4 linked regions of the Drosophila melanogaster genome follow. The protein of the gene in region 4 interacts with the protein of the main gene of each other region in a pairwise test. Each region holds a gene or a part of one and is shown on either strand. Other genes may lie near its edges. The genes, in order: lov, vimar, sov and toy.

Region 1 (4,751 bases), on a different chromosome or scaffold from region 4:
CGAAGCCGCCAAGAAACCGAAGACTTTCTGCAAACCGTCACAGGGGGATCTGCACTTTGCGCCTGAAAACCGGTTTGAAAGACCTCTTTACGAAACTTGGCTTCGATTGCATTTTTATTTCTGGTTTCAGTTTCGTAGTCCACCGATTACCATGTGATTTCCTACACCGCAACCCACCCCACCCCATCAAAATCACCCTCCACATCTCAAGCCCCTTTCGGGAGTACGAGTATTTGTTGAAGCAATTTGCTTTCTTGCATCTTGTGGCTGACCGAGGCGACTGCGATGCAATCAATATATGCTCGTGTCCAGCAAATAATAGACTTCAAACTGGCATTTTAAAAGTTTTTTTTCATAGCCAAAGTCTCGAAGTACGAAGTGCGATTGAGCCTGGAAGGAGTCCGCCAAGCGTTTTGGGTCTACAATTCATTGCTCTTACCGAGGGCAGAACACTTTTCCCCTAAATGCTCACATAGTTAAACTTATGAAAAGTTCGCTTTGTGCTGCACTAACAGGGGCCTCCAACGAGGGCCAGCTCACTATCCCTAAAGACAGCAACAACGAAGATCACTGCTCAGCAGTACAGCTAGAACATCCTGTATATGTCATAGCAATGAACTCTAATCCACTCTAGTAAATCAATTTATTAGCCACGTATGACTTATGCCTTTTTAAATAAACGCTTGCATGCGTTCTCTAGTTTAAGTTTAAGGTTGAGCGATTATAGATTGGCCATCCCTCAAGGGCGGGCTGAGTCTCAAGATACTCTTAAATAGAGGAGGCACAAGATATTTATGTTAACATGGCCTGCGTAGTAATTTGGCATTGTTGAGGTATCACGATTACGATACGACTTTAATTGTAGTAAAATACGAGCAATCGTATATGTGCTTTGCAATAGTGGCTTCGGTGCAAGCCATGATTATCTCTACTTTAAGATATGTGTGCACAAAAAATACAGTTATTTGAAAACGTTTAGCGTCAATAGTAAGAGTGTGAAATGACCTAGGCGAGTAATGCGTGCTCGTATCCGGATGAGAGTTCACTTATGGGTGCGTTTTGGTGACTTCGCAAAGCACTGCAAAAGTTAACAAACGGAGAAATATCAACAACATAGCTATATAAAACCAGTTGCCAAAAAAATGTGGTAAAAAATGCTTAGTTTATCTTGCTTAACTTTTTGTACAGCGTTTGCCTTTTCCGAGTATGCACACAAACGTTGAGGATAAATTGAAAAAGCCATTTTGCTGCCAATTTAGCAAACACTTAAACCAATTTTGCACTTCAATCCACCGACGCACACAAAAAAGGAGTGTCTCATACCTATACAGTTCCTATTCAGCTGAAGCCACACACTTGCACTTCTCGGATCCCAAGCGGATTCATGGAGCTTGCATCGACGCTGGCTTTGACGCTGTAACAAGGACGACCCAAAAGTCAGTTGCTGTGCCCCACAGGGAGGAAAGTGTAGGAAGCTTCCAAAACGTTGCCAACAAAGTGTGAAAATGTCAAGTCGTAAAGTGTCCACTGGCTGAGGGGACGCAGCGAGCGGTAGATGGGTGCAGTCTGTAAAGTGAAATGCCCTGACACCCATATCTGTTCGGGCAGTTTAAGTCAGCTTTGAGAGGAGTATCAACATTTAAAACAGGAGGACAATCGGTTATTATTGTCGCAAAGTTGATTTACAGAGAAACACAGCGTTTTGTAATATTAGAACTAACCCATTTTTACGCTCTACTCGAGAAATTAGTTAGCTTTGTATTAAAAGTCTGGTGCAATTAATGCTTTAGAATACTTTCAAATTTATCGAATAATGTCCTGTATTTGCCAATACCATGATCTCGGGGACATTGCCACCAGAGACCTAGTAGCGTTTCCTTTGCCTGCAAGTGACGACATGAGCGCTTTCAACGAGTAAGTGATAATTTAATTATCTTATCTTTTGTTACCACTGGACTTCTCTTAGGGTGAATAAAGAATCATTGGGGCATAATGCTGCTGAGATTAGATTGTCGGCCTCAAGTCTATCCGACTGCCGTGTAGAGAACTGGCTCCTTAAAAAGAAATTACGCGAATACGAAGTTACAATTGAGAACCTTGAGCAGTTGGTGACTACTATAGTTGAGAAGCAGCATCAAATTTTGAGCGAAATGTTTTCCTTACGCAAACAAAACCGAGAGCTGCAATCCGAGTGTCATCTTCAACGCGAGTATCACTCATTGGAAAGAAATGCCTTGATGAAGGAGCTGCATGACGCTCAAATCGTGTGTAGAAGTCGAAATCTGGATACGGTAAGTACAAACATAAAGAAACTAAGAGTGCATTTCTAAATGGGAAGCGCAGGCATGTCGATCAGATGAACATCAAGGTAGTGTAAGTTTGCCACCTGGGGACACGCTCCTTAAATCTGAATCCTCTTATGGTGATTTCGAAGAGGAAGACATGAGTGAATCGGACGACGGAGATCAGTGCGAAAAATGTTGGGTCGGCAATAATAAAGAGGATTTTGATGCTGGAGAAAATTACGCAGAGCCTTCAGCACTTAGTTCAGGTCAAAATTCTGGTAGGACATCACCGTCCTTATCAAGCTCAGTAACAGGGGACTCGGAATCGGCTGACGACAGATTTCTCAATAACATAAGCATTAATCAGAGCCTTACTAGTGATAGCGATCCGGAATATGCAGACAAATAATTACTACTTGATGCCTTTGAGTTTAAAGGTCTATATATTTTCTTTAATATAAAATTCAAATTATTTATAGACCAAACTTTCTACCGTGACTTTAAGTTGTCTTTCATGGCATTAAATAATCAAAACAAAAACGTGACAATCGCACAAATCAAATCAGCCATAAGTTTGACATAACGTGACGGTATCAGATTGTGTACAGACATGGCACTGCAAAGAAAAAACACGTCAATTGAGAAAAATAAGAGAATACCGACGCCCAAGTATTTGCATATTAAAACGCCAAAGGGCTGCAGAAAACCCGTTGCTAAAGTGCTCTCCTCGCCACCACACAAATATGATTGAATGGTAAGTAAATATATGTTCGCCAAAAGGGGAGTATTTAGATTACTGGCAAAAACGTGTTAAGTGTTTATCTATCGAAAAAGTTCAGGCCAAAACAGCTACCAGCCCTTTTGCAGCTTCTGGCATGACTATACATGGTTTGGGATTGGCCCCACACAAAGTTGTAAGAGAAGCGAGAATGTGTGCTTGTATTATGGGCAATTTATCAAACAGAAAGTTTTCAGCACAAATGAGTCGTGGCAAGGAAGCCGAAGGCCACCCGGGCACCCGTTTGCCAACAGGATTAATGAGTCTCGTGTGCTGCCTGTCCTATCCTACATCCTTGAAACCTGTCTCGCAGCACGTACCAATAATCTATTATGAGCCCTCTTCGAGAGGCAACTTGTGGAAGTTTTCGGGTTCTTTCCAAGATCGCTTGTCTTGGCTACGTTTTATGTGAAGATTTTTGATACTATATATGGGTGATAATATGAGACGTTATGACGTTTATCTCAGACTTGTAAGATGTTAAGCCAGAAACCACAGTTTTTCTGTTAGCATGAACAAAAGAGCATATTGCAATGCAATGTCAAAAACCTTAACTTTTCGTTGCTTGCCCTCAAGGACTTACACAAAAATAATTAATGACGAACGGCCTCGACTCAATGTAAATCGAGTCCGAAACTGTTTGCAATATCATTTATCAATTCAGAATTTTGTTTAGAAACTTGTTGCGCACAAAAAAGCTTTTCATGTACACGTGAGAAGGTACGAGGACTACCGCGGTAAAATGAATGGGATACGAGATGTGAAACCAAACAAGGCATTAAAGAAACACGCAAACATATTGAAATGCAATACCGTCTTGGCACTATAAACGCCTTGCGAATCGCATCATGATAGCTCCTGCATCAGAATCTTCTACGCCCCAAACAAGTAGCTTAAAATTGCGCGTAAGTGAGCATGGGTGCGTTTTTGAACCTTTGGTTCAGGCTACATCAAGACATATGAAACCAAAATGGTGCTAGTTGGTGGACGGTTGACTTTGTGAATATAGTTATTTTGGATAGTTATGTACAAGCGACCAACGCCGTCTTAATATTTTTATATTATGTTGTAGCAGGCTGCCTTGATCCGACGAAAATCGAATTTTCTGGATCAACGCCTACTTACTTACTCAACCGTAAAAATACATAAAACTTTTGCAAAAAAAAAAAAAAAGAAAACAAGGAAAAACCGTACTTGCGTGTTCTAAGCAATTTCAAACCAATAATCGTTGGGTGTCTTTTAAATTAAGTAACCAGAGCCATGCAAGCCAAATATGCCACATTGACATGTCTATCAATGCTGCTATGATGGCTTTGATGGGATGAGGGCAAGGACTTTTTGTTATTTTTTAATTTAACTAATCTAAAATTGGAATCATTTTATACTCAGCCCACAGGAAGTGTGGCATAACAGAAATAAAAGAAACCAATGAGTGATACATTGCGATTAATACAGGAGAGTACTATCCAATAAAGCAAGGCAGACCACATTTCATTTCTATTATACCGCGCTTTTCATATATGTATACATTTTACTTGGTTTAACACAAAAACCTGGCTGACAACTTTCTCAAAAATTTCTGGGTAGAGTTCAAAGGGGGTAAAATTTACTTCATACACCTTAATACATTCACCAGTTCATTTTATAGGGTTTCTCATGCATATTCAGAAAAGTATTTGTTTGAACAA
Region 2 (4,809 bases), on a different chromosome or scaffold from region 4:
TCAATCGGTGATTGTATCGCACCTTTAGCCAATGCCAATTTGCAGTTGAATTTTAAAACTCGAGCTATCTGCTAGAAACCCTATATATATCGTTTCTACACTATATATCCTTCAAAATAATAGGGTAATTTTTGTGCACATTAAAACACATTAAACTAAACCATCCAATACAAAGCCTAAACAGCACGAAACTTTCTTTATATCGAATTGATTATTTACTTAACACTTAACCATGTTTTTGCAATCATTCCTAATTAGAAGTTCAATTGATATTAGTGCTAATATTTCATAGAGCTTAAAAAAGGGCTTGGCAATCAGAATGTAGAGATGATGACATCACAAAAATCACGTATATCTCTCGTCCAAATCAAGAACCATACATATGTGCTAACCAATTCAATGACTAATCAAATTATGAGCAGATCCCGCATTCGAGTTAACAAAATCCAACCGAAATTGCGTGCATGAGACTTTGGACTGCCTGCCTGAGGCAGCGTTCACTGTATCGGAGGCCCAGGGACCACATTGTCGACCTCTTCCTGGCTTACTCTGCTGGGCGTAGCTGGCGGCGCTCTTGTAGTAAGCCTGCTGCTGACTCGGCGGCGATGGACTCCTGCCACGTTTTCCTGGCTGTCCGCCGGACGGGAGCTGCGAGGAAAAAAGAGGACCATTAGAACCTGAATCCCACAATTGCGCAGTCGAGACCTTCTGCATCAGCGTATGGTGCTGGTGTTGGAGGCGCAGGGGCGGCAGGAAGACCGGGCTACTGGCCGCCGCCTGCTGGATGGCGAACAGTTCGTTCTCCTTGGCCAGCTTCTTGCGCGTTTCGTCCTCGTTGAGCACCTTCTTGAGTTGGACGGTCAGCTGATGCTTCTGGCTGTGCAGATCGGCCAGCTGCTCGTCCAGTCGGGTTATCTGGCCGCGTGTGTCATCCAGGGCCACCTGGTTCTGGCGCTCCACCTCCTCGCGCTCCCGTCGCAGCCGCTGCTCCTCGCACTGAGCCTCGAACTCCTCCTGGCGCCGCTGGCGGTCCGCCACGATGAAGCCCTTCAGTGCCCCGCGCAGCTTCTCCGCCCGCTCGGCCTTCGCCGCCTGGGCGGCCGCGTTGCTGTTGTTTACCGCTGATGCTGGCGGCATCTTTGTGCTCTGCTTAGTTATCTTGCCAATTTTATAAGCGTTCGTGGACGACCGGGCAATCGCGACTGTTTGACCGAACCGACCGAGAGGCTCCCCAAATGGAATGGCGTGCTGGTGGCGGTGGGCTGGAATCCGGGTGGACACCGCTACGGGAATCAATGGTTGGGCGTCTTGGGATCACTGCAAATGCTCGACGCCGGGCTGCACTTTATTTTCGTTCACTTTCAGCACGGTTTTTTGTGGTAAACAATTTGTTGAGTGAGTGGGATGTGCCGACCAGTGTTGCCACCAATCGATTAATGGGCAAAGCTAGCTAGAAAATAGCTACTTTCCGATTGTGGTGGCAAATCTTAAGTTAACGTTCGAACTAAATCACTTATAAAGAATTCGATTTTTTCTTTAAAGCTTATATTCCTAATATTACTAGTCACACCCCAGAATTTAATATAAAATACAAATAGTTTCAACACTGATCGATACTTATCGATAACTTTTTGGAAACAGATTATAGTTTTTGGAAAATCCAAGCATTAAAGTCTAGACATTCTAGAAATGTCTATCGATGTTAATAAAATGCGTAAGCATCGATATGGCATCTCTCATTGGAGGTATCGTGCAGCTCGAGCTCTGCGGTCACACTAGAATTGCAGTTGTTGGTGTGAACGTCTGAACGCGATTCGGAAAATACGGATTACACGGATAATACGAATTATACGGATATTGCGGAAGTTGAACGGAGACGCGACTGAAAGAAAGCCGTGAAATGTGTTCAGTTGCGCGCAGCAGTCATTAGCCTATCAGCAGTGTTTGTTACAAGCTAACAGTGATACAACGTGCCTGGAATCGCAACCAACGCAGAGCAAGAAAAGCAGAAAAGCATAAAAACGGAAGAAGCAGCAGCGGAATAATCAACAAAGGCGGCAAACATGGCGAGTGAGTAACATCGAGCATTTCTCTGCCTATGGAGCATCCCAAACGACATACAGCAGACCCCGGATTCCTTTTCCATAGCATAAACAAACGCAATTCATGCGAGTCATTGCAGCGGCCGTTTTATGGCTGCAGTGCAGCATTTACGAGCTGCGAAAACTTCCAAATCGCTGCCAGGTGTCGGAGGAAGTTGCTCCGAGCAGGGGCAGTGGGGTGGGGGCGGGCGATGCGGCTCCCTAGACAAGATGTGTGTGTTTGCCGGGGACATGTGAGAAAAATCAATACTTATGCTCCCCACTCCCCATCCCACTGCACAGTGGGCCGGTCGGATTAGGCAGATGCCGTGCTCCTGCTGCTGTGCGCACCCACTTATCGCGGCCAACAGGGTCAGCGCTTCCCAATCAGAAATCCCGCTCTTTTATCCTTTAATGGCCCCGGCAGTTCTGGCGGGAATTAAGTGCGGCTGAGACAGCGGCCACCACCGTTTTGCACGAACCCGCCACCCGAGCCGCCCACTCCACCGCAGCACAGGAGGAATAGGAATGGGAACTGGGAACAGCAGTGACGACGCATTAATAAATGAGAATATGCCTCCTGCGAGGTGCCAGGTTTACCGGCGTGTCGCAACACTCCCCGCAGTCCTCACAATTCGTTTTATCCCCACGGGGGGTGATATAGCAAACAAAACGATGAAGTCATGCACAGTGAGAAATCTATGGCAACTTTGTTGAATTGTTGATAAACATTACAATTAGGACAATCTTCACAGATTAAGCTTAAAAGGGCTTAAAATTCGATACTACTTTGCAGTCAAAGCGCAGTCATTGTCAAGATAAAGCTGTGACTAACTAAAAGAAACCCCTTTTTTTCTTGTGTTTCTCAGTGTAGTTGGATGTGTAACGTACGCACTGGATGTGTTATATTTGGGTCAGTCACCGATGAGAATTGTTAAACGTAAACAAGTCTCTAAACTTCTTAGTTTTCAAACGTGACTGCACCGAATCAACACATACATAAACACTGGCCACAGACTGTACTGTTTGTATACCCTTTCCCGAGGGGAACCTGTGCAGAACGACAACAAACAGCACTTGAACGCGCCGGCAATCCCGGCCTCGAAACTTCCCCTTTTTCAGGAGGGGTGCTGCATCCCAATCCCCACACCACTGTACACCTCACTTGTCTACAGAACCCACCAGCTGCGCCCAGCGTAGCGAGACCCATTTCCACACTGAAAACAATTCGTGGTTCTTGTTCATTTTAATTCATATGCAAGCACTGGGAAACTTGCGCTGAATATATGATTTTCAAGACCTGTCATTCGGAGCATTCATTAAGTGTTACATAAGTTTTATACCTGAAGTATAGTACATTGAAATACTATTCGACATTACTATAGATTGTTTTGAAATCTAATGAAAGGACATCTATAAAATTCAAGGATGCAGGCCATTGGACCGTTGCGGCATGATTTACTCGCTGTGCAGATCCCAGCTGCGAGATGCTTGCCACGTCCTCCCTGCGGCTCAGTCACTTTGGACTTTAATTGGTCCTTTGTGACTGCATTTGTCGACGCTTTCGCTCGGCGTCTTCGACGCAATTTGACTGCTGTCCTTGAGGCTGTGGCTACCATCAACCCCGAGGCTGGGAGTCTGATAAGGAAGAGGATATCAGCTGCCAAAGCAGGCCGCTCCCCTCGCCAGATTCCAGATTCTAGATTCCGGAGCTGCTGCCTCTTTATTGTTATTGTTATTATTTTGGGCTTTTCCATTCGTTCCACGCAGCTTACCCAGATTAGCTGGCTGTTATTGTAGTTTGCCCGGCTTCGAATTTATTGTCCTTTTCCACCTCCTTCTTGCGTATTCCGGCGTCGTTGCTTCATTTGCTTCAAATCTAGCTGGGTGACTTGTGATTTCCCCGTGCCTAGCGCCTTCCACTCGCTTTATTCTTTTAACTGCTAATAAGATTTTGGCCCTTCTAATGGCCTTGAGAATGAATGGGGCGAGCAGGCCGCCTTGAAAAGATGAAATTGTGGGGTGGTTGGTGGCTAGCTCTGTTTTAATTGAGTTCGTGCCCTATTCAAATTGGCATAGAAATTAATTTCAATTAACTTTCGAGTCTTTTCGAGGAGGCTATGTGTGTCCCCTTGACAAGTTGTGGAGCATACTTTACGGGGCCAAAAGAGGGTTGGCATTTTGGGGAATCCCCCATCGACAGAACGTTCTAACTTGTGTGCTTCAAGTGTGCAACTTGTGTGCAAACTTTTAGTTTTTTCCGCTCTAAACTAAGCAACTTGTACAACTTGTGTCAACTTTTAAGTTGGTAAATTCGTTGGTATTTACACGAGTACTGCATGATTTAAATGTTCAATAAGCTGGCTGGTATGTAAAAAACGGATTCAAGTTGTCTTTTCTCAAGTGTTCATTGTGTTGACATACAAAATGTTGACTGGCGAAAGTCAATTTGTATTTAAGTTTGCAGCTACATATACATATACAGTCAACTTAGTTCGAAACTATTTCGGCTACCTCTAATATACATACAAAAGCACTTTGTTAAATTCACCAACTCGGTGGATTGTCCCAGAACAACAAACCAAAATTTAAAATTTGCAAACGAACAGAGAAAAACGAATCCTTTTTTGTCTTCTCACGCTGCTGGGAAGGAGAAGAAAGTAACCAAGAACTGGAGGACGACGACTTCACAATGGGAATCCTGCAGGCGAGGAGGCATCACTGCGTC
Region 3 (4,791 bases), on a different chromosome or scaffold from region 4:
ACTAAACAATCTTTCGACGTTGCGATCGATAGCGTAAATAAAACAGCAAACATGAGACATAAGCACATTCCATACATACGCCGTCCACAAATCCCGTACCTACAGAACGAAGCAGATAGCACAATAATAATATAAACGGGAAGCGTCTACCTAGTTTTCTACGAAACGATGACCACACGCACACACACACACATTTAAACTTTCAGCGACTCGACTCTTGCGCATATCTAAAAGCCCAAGGAAGCCAAGAATTCTAAATCGACGTGGCAGTACGCGCTGATCGAGAGTACAGAACAGACCGCCTAGAAGAGCAACACTGAAACCATCCAACCCTATTATTGTTGATCATTAATCATATTTAACCCGCATTATCACAATATATCTGTATGGGATAATGGGATAATTAAACTTATGTACCGTTTCAGTTTGAACTCTTCCAACACACAAAACATATTTAGTAGGCGCCACTTCACAGTATTACGAACAATACTTCTAACACGACTCATGGTCTGGTTCGTCGATCGGCGAATACCAAACACTGTGTGCCATTTAAGTCTTGATACACCAGCTGATATAAACCAAGCCAATCGCGATCCTTATTATGACCTTGATTTTTAATATAAATCAATAGGGTTGGAGCACAGGAAGGTCTAGTACATAATCTGAAAATGTGTTCGCAACGACGGAAGCATGTTGTTCTTATCCTTGATAACTATTACTGTAGCACTATCATCATTTCTTTCATTTGAGGAATAAAATATCCATGTTTACTTTTGTGGTTTCATTGTAGTAGGTAGAGTACAAGGTCAAAGTACTCAGTCCACGCAAAACCAACAACAAATGGTAACCCTCGAGTAGCGATGGGATTTTTTCAGCAAAACGACTACATTCCTTTACGAATGAACCAATCGGTGTTCTTGTGGATAGAATACGGAACTTAGCTTGATTCTTTTATCTATCAGCTATCAAAGTCCATTTGCTATGCTTAAAACGTATAAGCATTTACTTTAAGCTTGATTTAAATAAGTATTTTATGCACATAGTGAGTAATCACTGCATTTATTTGTGCATTTACAGATATTATTAAAAAAAAAAGGTCAGAAGTGCCTTTCATTTTCCAAATCTGATACTCTCAAGTAGTTTTCTTTTTCCTAAAAATAAAGTATGTGGCAAGGTATCCATATTTTGTGACAAAGTAACTCTCGTTGCCTTTTACAAGTTCTAAAAATTATACAGATCATCCTTGCTATTCTATTTCTTTATTATATCCGTTACTTGAAGAGTAAAAGGGTACTAGATTCGTTGAAAAGTATGTAACAGGCAGATTGAAGCCTTTCCGACTATATAAAATATATATATTCTTAATCAGGATTAATAGCTGAGGTGATCTGGCCATTTCCGTATGTTCGTATGAACGTCGACATCTTAGAAACTATAAAAGCTAGTAGGTTGAGATTCAACATACAGATTCCAGAGACATGGACGGAGCGCAAGTTTGTTGACCCATGTTGCCACGTCCACTCTAACGCCCACAAACCGCAAAAAATTGCCCACGCTTTTGAACCTTTTTTTCGAAATTTGTTCATAATTTTATTAGACTTGTAAATTTCTATCGGTTTGGCAAACAACTTTTGGCCACGCCCACTCTAACGCCATAAAGCCGCCAATACGGTCACTTTGGGAAAATTTTTTCTCATTTTATTCCCCAATATCTTTCGATATCCCAGAAAAATGATGAAATTTCGCGTTCGCATTCACACTAGCTGAGTAACGGGTATCTGATAGTCGGGGATTTGACTACAGAATTCTCTCCTCCAACGATTTAGAAAAAGTGGGTCACTTTGTATTTTGGACTTTTGAAACATCGGTTTTTGGCGACACAAATGTAGCATTCAGCCTTTAGTGCGCTAGTGCGCACTACCAAACACACTATAATAACTATCACTGTATGCGTAGAAAAGAGCTGTTTGCTGTAGCGCTCTCCGCTCTCTCGCTCTCGAACAAAAAATCGAGAGAGCCTGGAGCCACCTCTAGAGCCATGGCGAAAAAATAGTGTGCCAAAAAATCGTATAGCGTTACGCATCTTGTCTTTGGCACTACCTTGACCGTTGGTATCGAATCATTGTGTCGCGTTTTCGTCATTAGAATGTGTTTCCTATCTCAGCTTTTTAGGTCGTTCATACGGACAGAAAAACGGACATAATAGTCATGGTTAAAATCCTATGTACTACATAAGGTCAGAAGAGTTTCCTTCCACCACAGTACTTAAAAAAAAAAGTTAGTAACGTTAGTAATGTGTGTATAAACATTTAAAGAAACGAAGTTATCATTACGCGATTAACTTAAATCCACTTTTCATAGTAGAGCTCGCAATACGCCATTATTGATTGTAAACGTCCTTTCCGCTCTCGTCCGAGAAATGATTTATGGAAGAATGTTTATATAAACGGCGGTTGGATTCTTCACACGATAAGTTCTGCGGAACACTTATGCAGACACACACACACAAACACAGTCGCAAAAGCTCGTCCACATAAGACGCAAACTCAAACGAACACAAAGACAAACAAGAGCACGACTTTTTTGCTGGCCTCTACAATTCGTTTTTGTTTTCGTCGTTGATGCACATTCCCGTTATTACAACTACCACTTGATTAGTAATATTCAACTGTACTCACTTTAGATTACTTTCCTCCGTTATTTCTGGAGTTTTGTGCGATGCTCAGCAATTTGGCCTTGTCTGCGGAGGTGTCGAAATACGAGCCGATCCGAACACTTCCAAAGTTGACGCCGAAGTGAGGGAACTATGCCCGTGTCTCACAATGCGCAATTGCCGGCGAATACGATAGACACGAATAGCAGAGCAAAATGCTCACTCTGCCAAGGCTACGTGTCTGCAATTCGCCGCGATGATTTTCGTCGTAAGTGAAAGTTGGGAAAAACTAGGGTTTTTCGTTTCGGGGAGAAAATTTTTCTTATTTTTTTGTAGATGTTACTCGAAGGAGCTGGCCATAAGGCATAGAAATGAAAGAAATTAAGCCACGTACTTTGATGTTGTTGTCATACATGCAACTATTTTATTAAGTTAGTTATCGATAGCTATCGATGGTTATGGACAAACAAAACTTTTTGGCTTAGATGCAACATGGTCATACTGAAGGAAACTGGTACGTTGCACTATGGGTAAAAAGCCGGAAATTTTGGTATTAATTACAATTTTAAAGATAGCATCTTGATTTTTTTTATATTTATAATTAGGATTTAAATAGAATTTCGGTTTAGAGTGAAAGTGAAAAATTTATTTATATACAAATGAAAGCTGTTTTAAAGGGAGATGGATGGGTGGCGAAGGATATGTGGGTGTTAATATGTCTGTGGTTCAACCGGTGGATCCGGAGGTGTCTTACCTGGGAGATTGGCGTGGCATATAAGGTTCGTATTTAACTGCTATTATTTGGTTTTTGGCAGTGTAGGAATATGGTCTAAGGTTTTTTATAGCCGCATCCAAATTTTGTTTTCCTTCAATATAAGGGCAGCACTATCCTTTGTTCAACTTTTTCTGCCAATTTCACAATTCAAAGCACCTCTGATTTAGCTGAAAGTGTCGCGAGTGTCGAACTCAATTTATGTTAACAAAACAGCACTTTATTAAAGTTGTACACTTGTAATCGCCTGGCGAATTAAGTACACAGTTATCGCGCTAAAAATACAGTGTTGCGGGAATCTCGGGGATCCATCGCTTAGGCCTATGATTGCTGGGTGCAAGGACACCTGCTCCGGATTCGGGCATATTTGTTAAGAACTGATATCTGATGTAAAGCAGATATCGAATTATCAGTTAGCCGAATTTGAAGCAGGTATCTTAACAACCTAACATAAAAATTGCATAATATTAATTAATAAAAAAAAAAAAACACTCCGGAGCTTAAGCTAATCTATAGTCTACTGCTCTCCGCGCCATTTTGTCGTGGCGGAGAAATCTGGGACTTGTCGTATCCATTGCTGGACATCTGCAGATGCTGCGGAAGTTGGGCAGGACGTCCGTTGGAGGGCAAGGTCTCGTCCACGGAGAACACGGAGTTGTCGTGTCCGTGCATGTGGCGAGCATTGAGCACGGCATCCGGATGGCTCTTCGGCGACTCCGGCTGTCCCACCTCATCAGGCTTGCCTTCCAGCAGGAAACAGGTGATGAAGAAGAGAATAGAACCTGTGACCAGAGGTGTTAGTAATATTGGTATCCAAAAGTGGCCAGATCAAGCCGACTTACTGATGCCGTAGAATCCAGCGTAGAAGATCATGATCGAACCGCGATAGCCCAGGATCTTGGCCACCGGATCCACCAGGATGGGCAGGTTGCCGCCAATGTTGTTCATCACAAACAGAAAGACGCCAATGGTCGAGGAGCGAACGCGCAGCGGAACAATCTCCACAACAATGGCAAAGACAATACCGAACCACATCTCGGCGAAGAAATAACTCAGGCCCAGCGTGATCATGGCCCACAGCGGGTCAAAGTAGACCGATCCGAAGGCTGGTAGTGTGGCAATTAGCTGGCTAACAGCCAATACAAAGGCGCGTGATCGAATGCCCATCTTGGCGACAATCTTGTCCGACACAATGCCACCGACGACCACACCCACGCTGCCAATGCCAATGGTGACCCCAAAGAGCCACCAGCCCAAGTCCACGTCGGGGAAGTACGTGTTGTAGTAGAGATCGGCGTTGTAGGCAAAGGTCATGCCACCGCAGTGACGGATGGACGCGGCAATCATCAACATGATCATTGCCGGA
Region 4 (4,698 bases):
TATCATTAATCAGAGTTTTTAAGAGAACAGGAAAACAACTATAAATAGCTTAAAGCTATAAGGCTCTATTAGAAAATTCGTTTGAAACAATCTTCCAGCTTTAAACTTCTAAAATTTTTAACTTAAGACAGAAAGAGAGGTACAGACTGGTCCTAGATCCATCCTGATCATGAATATACATATATATTTTTAAGGATCGAAAACGCTTAAAATGGTATGTTAGAACTTTTATTAGTCAGATCAGAGTTTTTAAGAGAACAGGAAAACAACTATAAATAGCTTAAAGCTATAAGGCTCTATTAGAAAGTTAGTTTGAAACAATCTTTCAGCTTTAAACTTCTAAAATTTTTAACGTAAGACAGAAAGAGAGGTACGGACTGGTCCTAGATCCTGATCATGAATATACATATATATTTTTAAGGATCGAAAACGCTTAAAATGGTATGTTAGAACTTTTATTAGCACGTGCAGAAATATTATTATGTGCGCAAAATATAACTTACACTTGGAATGTTATCACTATTGCAAACTTGTTCCGATAGCAGTCGATCTCGTATTTCCCACGCAAATATGCTGGGACATTCCCGTTTGTAATCTGCAATTTTTTGCACAACCGGGGTTGTAGCTACTCGTGGCTTTGAACCACCTATAGCTCGAGGTTTTATCGATCCAGTTTCATAATATCTAAAAAAAATAAACTTATTTACATTTTATCTGAGTAGTCATTAAAAGTAGATAATAGAATAAACAATGAATATACAATCAATTTAGATTTGGCTGTATATTTTCTTATTTTGCAAAGAACAGAGAATTTAAAAATACGTTCTTCTTAAGATATGATTTTGATTTTTATGTATTATGATCATAAATGGTGAATGTGTTTCAATAATCAGAGTCACACAATGAGAGATTGGGATGGGGGCCTGATTTCAAATTTTCATATTACGAAAATCATTGATTTTCTTACTCTAAAGTATTTATAATAGAACTGCTAATATCTGATTAGTTCCAATTATGTAACTTAGTAGTCGAAAGCCGTAAATATTCTCGGGAAGAGCAGTGCTTATAGTAAAGTAAAAAAGGACATTCCTCTAGTATTGATTGAAAAATCCTCTTTCCAAAATGTTAGATGAGCACAAAAAAACAATTCGGAGTGCAGTGCTTGTAAATGCGAGCTGCAACTTGTAAAAAGAAAAGCGCAGCGATTCATTAGTGGTGACAATGCTAAACGCCGTCGAAATGTTTAGCGTCGAGATAATAAAAACTATAAGCAAACCTCAGCGTCAACAGTCAACACTTTCAGTTGTAGACATTAAATTAGTTAAATGCAGCCGGTATATAAATATTTTGCGAATGGCATATAGGATTGAATATAGAATATATGCTAAACAAAATAACATAAGTATTAATTAGAAGCCAGGGGAGAAATGTATTTGTTAGTGTTGTACAATGGACAGCACTTGCAATACGGACACCAATAACGCCGTAAAGAGGTTCTTCCAACAAACAAATTTGGCTACTCGCAAAACAGATGCTAAGCAAGTTCTCTTTAATCATACGCAGTCTTACGATCATTGGTTAGTTGATACGAAATAGACTAGGAGGCATTCGGATCTTATGCATATAGAAACTACTGAAACGTTAGTAAGGCCATTAACTTACCAAAAACAGAGAGAATGCTATAGTCGAATTCCCCGACTATACGACTAAATACGAAAGCAAAATTGTGTTATTTTTCTGGGATCCGTTTTTTGCGTTTTGTTGGTGTAAGAAGGGGTGTGGCGAAAGTGTTTTTGGTATACCGATAGAAGACAAACAATAAAACGATTAAAAATCAACACTTTTTTTAAAAGTGTTGGCAATATGGGTCAACAAACTTGCGCTACGTCCATATCTCTACAATCAGTATGCCTAATTCCAACCATCTAGCTTTTATAGTTCCTGAGATCGAGACATTCATACGGACAGACGGAATATATACATACTTCATATGGTCGGGAACGCATCCTTCTTCCTGTTGCATACTTTTCAACAAATCTAATATACCTTTTGACTCTTTGAGTAACGGGTATAATAATCGAATCTTTCATATTTTCCAAATTTAATATCACTCCCTGGTTTAAACGCAGTGCTTATATAATAAAGTCCGAAGTCAGAAATTTTAGCTGAGCAGTTTGTTTGTTGGAGGCTACTTTCGTAGTTCCTGTTTAGTTAAGAAAATGTCATTATGCACTCGAAATGCCTCACCTGCCCAAAATTTTGCTTACGCAACCGTTGGACACTTGTAGTATTCTTGAAATATCACAAGGACGTGCGCCGGAATGAGCCAATTCGACAATTTTTTGACGCGTTGAATCGGGCAGTGGCCGGCCATTAACATATACGCCGCCCAGCTGATTTATTCCGCTATGGCCCGCCGTGGAGCACCCAAATAGAGTACTCTGCCCGACTGACGAGTGGGGATGCCCATGCATTATGTGTTCAGTTGTTAGCATCATAATTAATTATTTTTAATGCGGCGTTGGAGACTTCGACGGTGGCTGACGTGCGTATGTTTATTATTGAAAGTGAGAAAGTAGGATTACTCCCTTTTTCATTGTTGTTAGAAGGGGGGCTTCGTTGCCAACTTTGTACATCCCATATATATTATCTTCTTCACCTGGTAATCAAACTCCAGACTATCACTTCAGACGTTTTAACATTTATCACTTTTTACTTGCCAGGATATGAACTTTCACTTTATGAGTTTTGTTTTAAGTGTGCACGATGGAAAGCGTTAAAGTGTTTTAAAACTGTATCATAGATCGTTTATGAAAATGGTCCCGATATTTTCCGTCGAAAGTACGGGTCCGCAGCCCGGCGGCAGCGCCACGGATGGCGACCTAGTTTATTAATCTGGGAATAATTTGCATTCAAAATGATCGAATAGTGACGTAGGTATCGGTTTAAGCTTGAACAAAAATTTCTTTTGCTAACTGGTTTCAGTGACGAGGTGCGCACTTAGCCAAGCGAAACGTTAATGAGCTCTCATGCGAAAAAACACTGGCAAGAGCAACGGCTAACACATCGGCCAGCCATTTTGGCGGCGTTGCTCTAGTTGTCTCTTTTCATTTGCAGTCAGCGATAGCTAACAACGTTGCTGTTTTCCGTGCCGTGAAAAGAGATAGCTATAGAGACATGAGGAAGAGAGGCATTACAACAAAATCCATCGTGCGCACATCTGGCAAATAGGAGTTGCGTAGGAAAGAGACGGCTATGGAAGAAAGAAAAGTGTACCCTATCCGCTTGAAAATCTTTTTGAAGTTTTGGTTGGTTGTTAAATATATCGTGGGCAACTTTAACATTATGGATTCAGCGATAATAACGCTGGAAAATAAAACTGAATTTATATAAACATAGATGGTTGTGTATATGTGTAAGTCTTATTCATCATTGTATGCATATGTTTGGTTGTGATGATATTTTATCATGTTTAATGCACTTAATCCCTAAAATATTTGATTATATAACCATGTATCCAAAAGTTTAAGAATCTGATCATTCTGAATAACATACAATCTAATCGTTTGCCATACCTTTGTTTTAAAAAAGTATAGAACGACTAGTTATTTATTGCCCTGTATCAATTCCCCATCTTTACGTTAAGTATTATTATATTTCTGATGTCGGTTGTGTTAATATACAAAAATACATTCACATATAAAAACTATGAGTGCATTTTATTAGTTTTAATTTAAATTTAAAATTGAACAGCAATAAAAACGTATTCAGGAAGGTCAAACAGTATCAGGAGTTCAAAATGCCTTGCCTTACCTGTAGCGTGATCTGCGTGACTTGGGCTTGAGATGAAGTTTGTATTGTTAACTTTAAAGAGTATTTAGTATTTGTAAATTTTTTGTTGTATATCTATACAAAATATTAAATATGTAAATACATAAATTGTCTGTTCTGCTACTTCTGCTTGTATTTACATTTTCGATATCTATTATTTACAGAAATTAAACCCCCAAGTAACAGCATTCAAAACCTAAACCACCCCAAAAAGCCACCACTGAGCTTACTTGCTCTCAACATCCTGTCCGACACGTTTTTTGGATTTTTGAAGTCACACGCATCAACGAATCTATTTCCCCTTCCACCACAATTTCCATTATTGTAGTGCCGGCATCCAGTGTGCTGGGCTTCTTCAAAGGGGCATATTCTTGAATCGCCTTTTTGTCATTCCTATTGCGTGTGCCAAAAATTTCATGGCGCATTGTAAAGGTGACGAATCTGATTTTCCTGGAATGTGTGAAAATACCTTAATTTATATTATTTAGCGTAGTGTCTGGGCTGCAACAAATGCATATAACCATTAAATTTTGCACTCATGATATTTGATTTTTCTTGCGTACCTACTTACTAGTAGAGTCTCTATCGATATGCTAAACAATAATTTAGCCACGTCTACTCTAAAGCCTACATTTTGTTTGATGTTTTTTTAATTTCAATATCTTTATCAATGTGTAAAATAGAATGTCAGAAGGAAGCGCCTACATAAAGTATCTGTATTCTTGGTCAGGGCCACTAGCCGAGTCGATCTAGCCCTATCCGTCCGTATTAACGTCGAAATCTCAGGAAATATATAAGCTAACAGGTTGAGATTAGGCATATAGATTAGAGACATAGACGCGGCTCAAGTTTGTTGACCCATATCGT

The links.
Region 1: the proteins of toy (region 4) and lov interact in a two-hybrid assay, tested with the Drosophila melanogaster proteins (one large-scale study listed by BioGRID).
Region 2: the proteins of toy (region 4) and vimar interact in a two-hybrid assay, tested with the Drosophila melanogaster proteins (one large-scale study listed by BioGRID).
Region 3: the proteins of toy (region 4) and sov interact in a two-hybrid assay, tested with the Drosophila melanogaster proteins (one large-scale study listed by BioGRID).

What each region holds. Positions count from the first base shown.
Region 1 is NT_033778.4:25,136,604-25,141,354, reverse strand, and holds the start of lov (jim lovell), read left to right. Parts: upstream 1-1,727; 5' UTR 1,728-1,813; coding exon of another isoform or gene 1,814-1,914; intron 1,915-1,966; coding exon of another isoform or gene 1,967-2,291; intron 2,292-2,343; coding exon of another isoform or gene 2,344-2,694; exon of another isoform or gene 2,695-2,728; intron 2,729-4,751. Other genes in the region: CG43106 (uncharacterized protein), read left to right, coding at 1,814-1,914, 1,967-2,291, 2,344-2,694. UniProt on the Drosophila melanogaster protein: Has a regulatory role during midline cell development.
Region 2 is NT_033778.4:6,982,673-6,987,481, reverse strand, and holds the start of vimar (visceral mesodermal armadillo-repeats), read left to right. Parts: upstream 1-1,769; 5' UTR 1,770-2,063; coding exon 2,064-2,070; intron 2,071-4,495; exon of another isoform or gene 4,496-4,773; coding exon of another isoform or gene 4,774-4,809. Other genes in the region: CG17002 (uncharacterized protein), read right to left, coding at 549-648, 706-1,137; CG30156 (uncharacterized protein), read left to right, coding at 4,774-4,809. UniProt on the Drosophila melanogaster protein: Probably acts as a GEF (guanine nucleotide exchange factor) for the Rho family of small GTP-binding proteins (G proteins) that stimulates the dissociation of GDP to enable subsequent binding of GTP.
Region 3 is NC_004354.4:6,754,588-6,759,378, reverse strand, and holds the start of sov (small ovary), read right to left. Parts: upstream 3,058-4,791; 5' UTR 2,679-3,057; intron 770-2,678; exon of another isoform or gene 1-769. Other genes in the region: CG14439 (uncharacterized protein), read right to left, coding at 3,936-4,207, 4,268-4,791.
Region 4 is NC_004353.4:988,052-992,749, reverse strand, and holds the start of toy (twin of eyeless), read right to left. Parts: upstream 3,026-4,698; 5' UTR 2,499-3,025; coding exon 2,248-2,498; intron 685-2,247; coding exon 504-684; intron 1-503.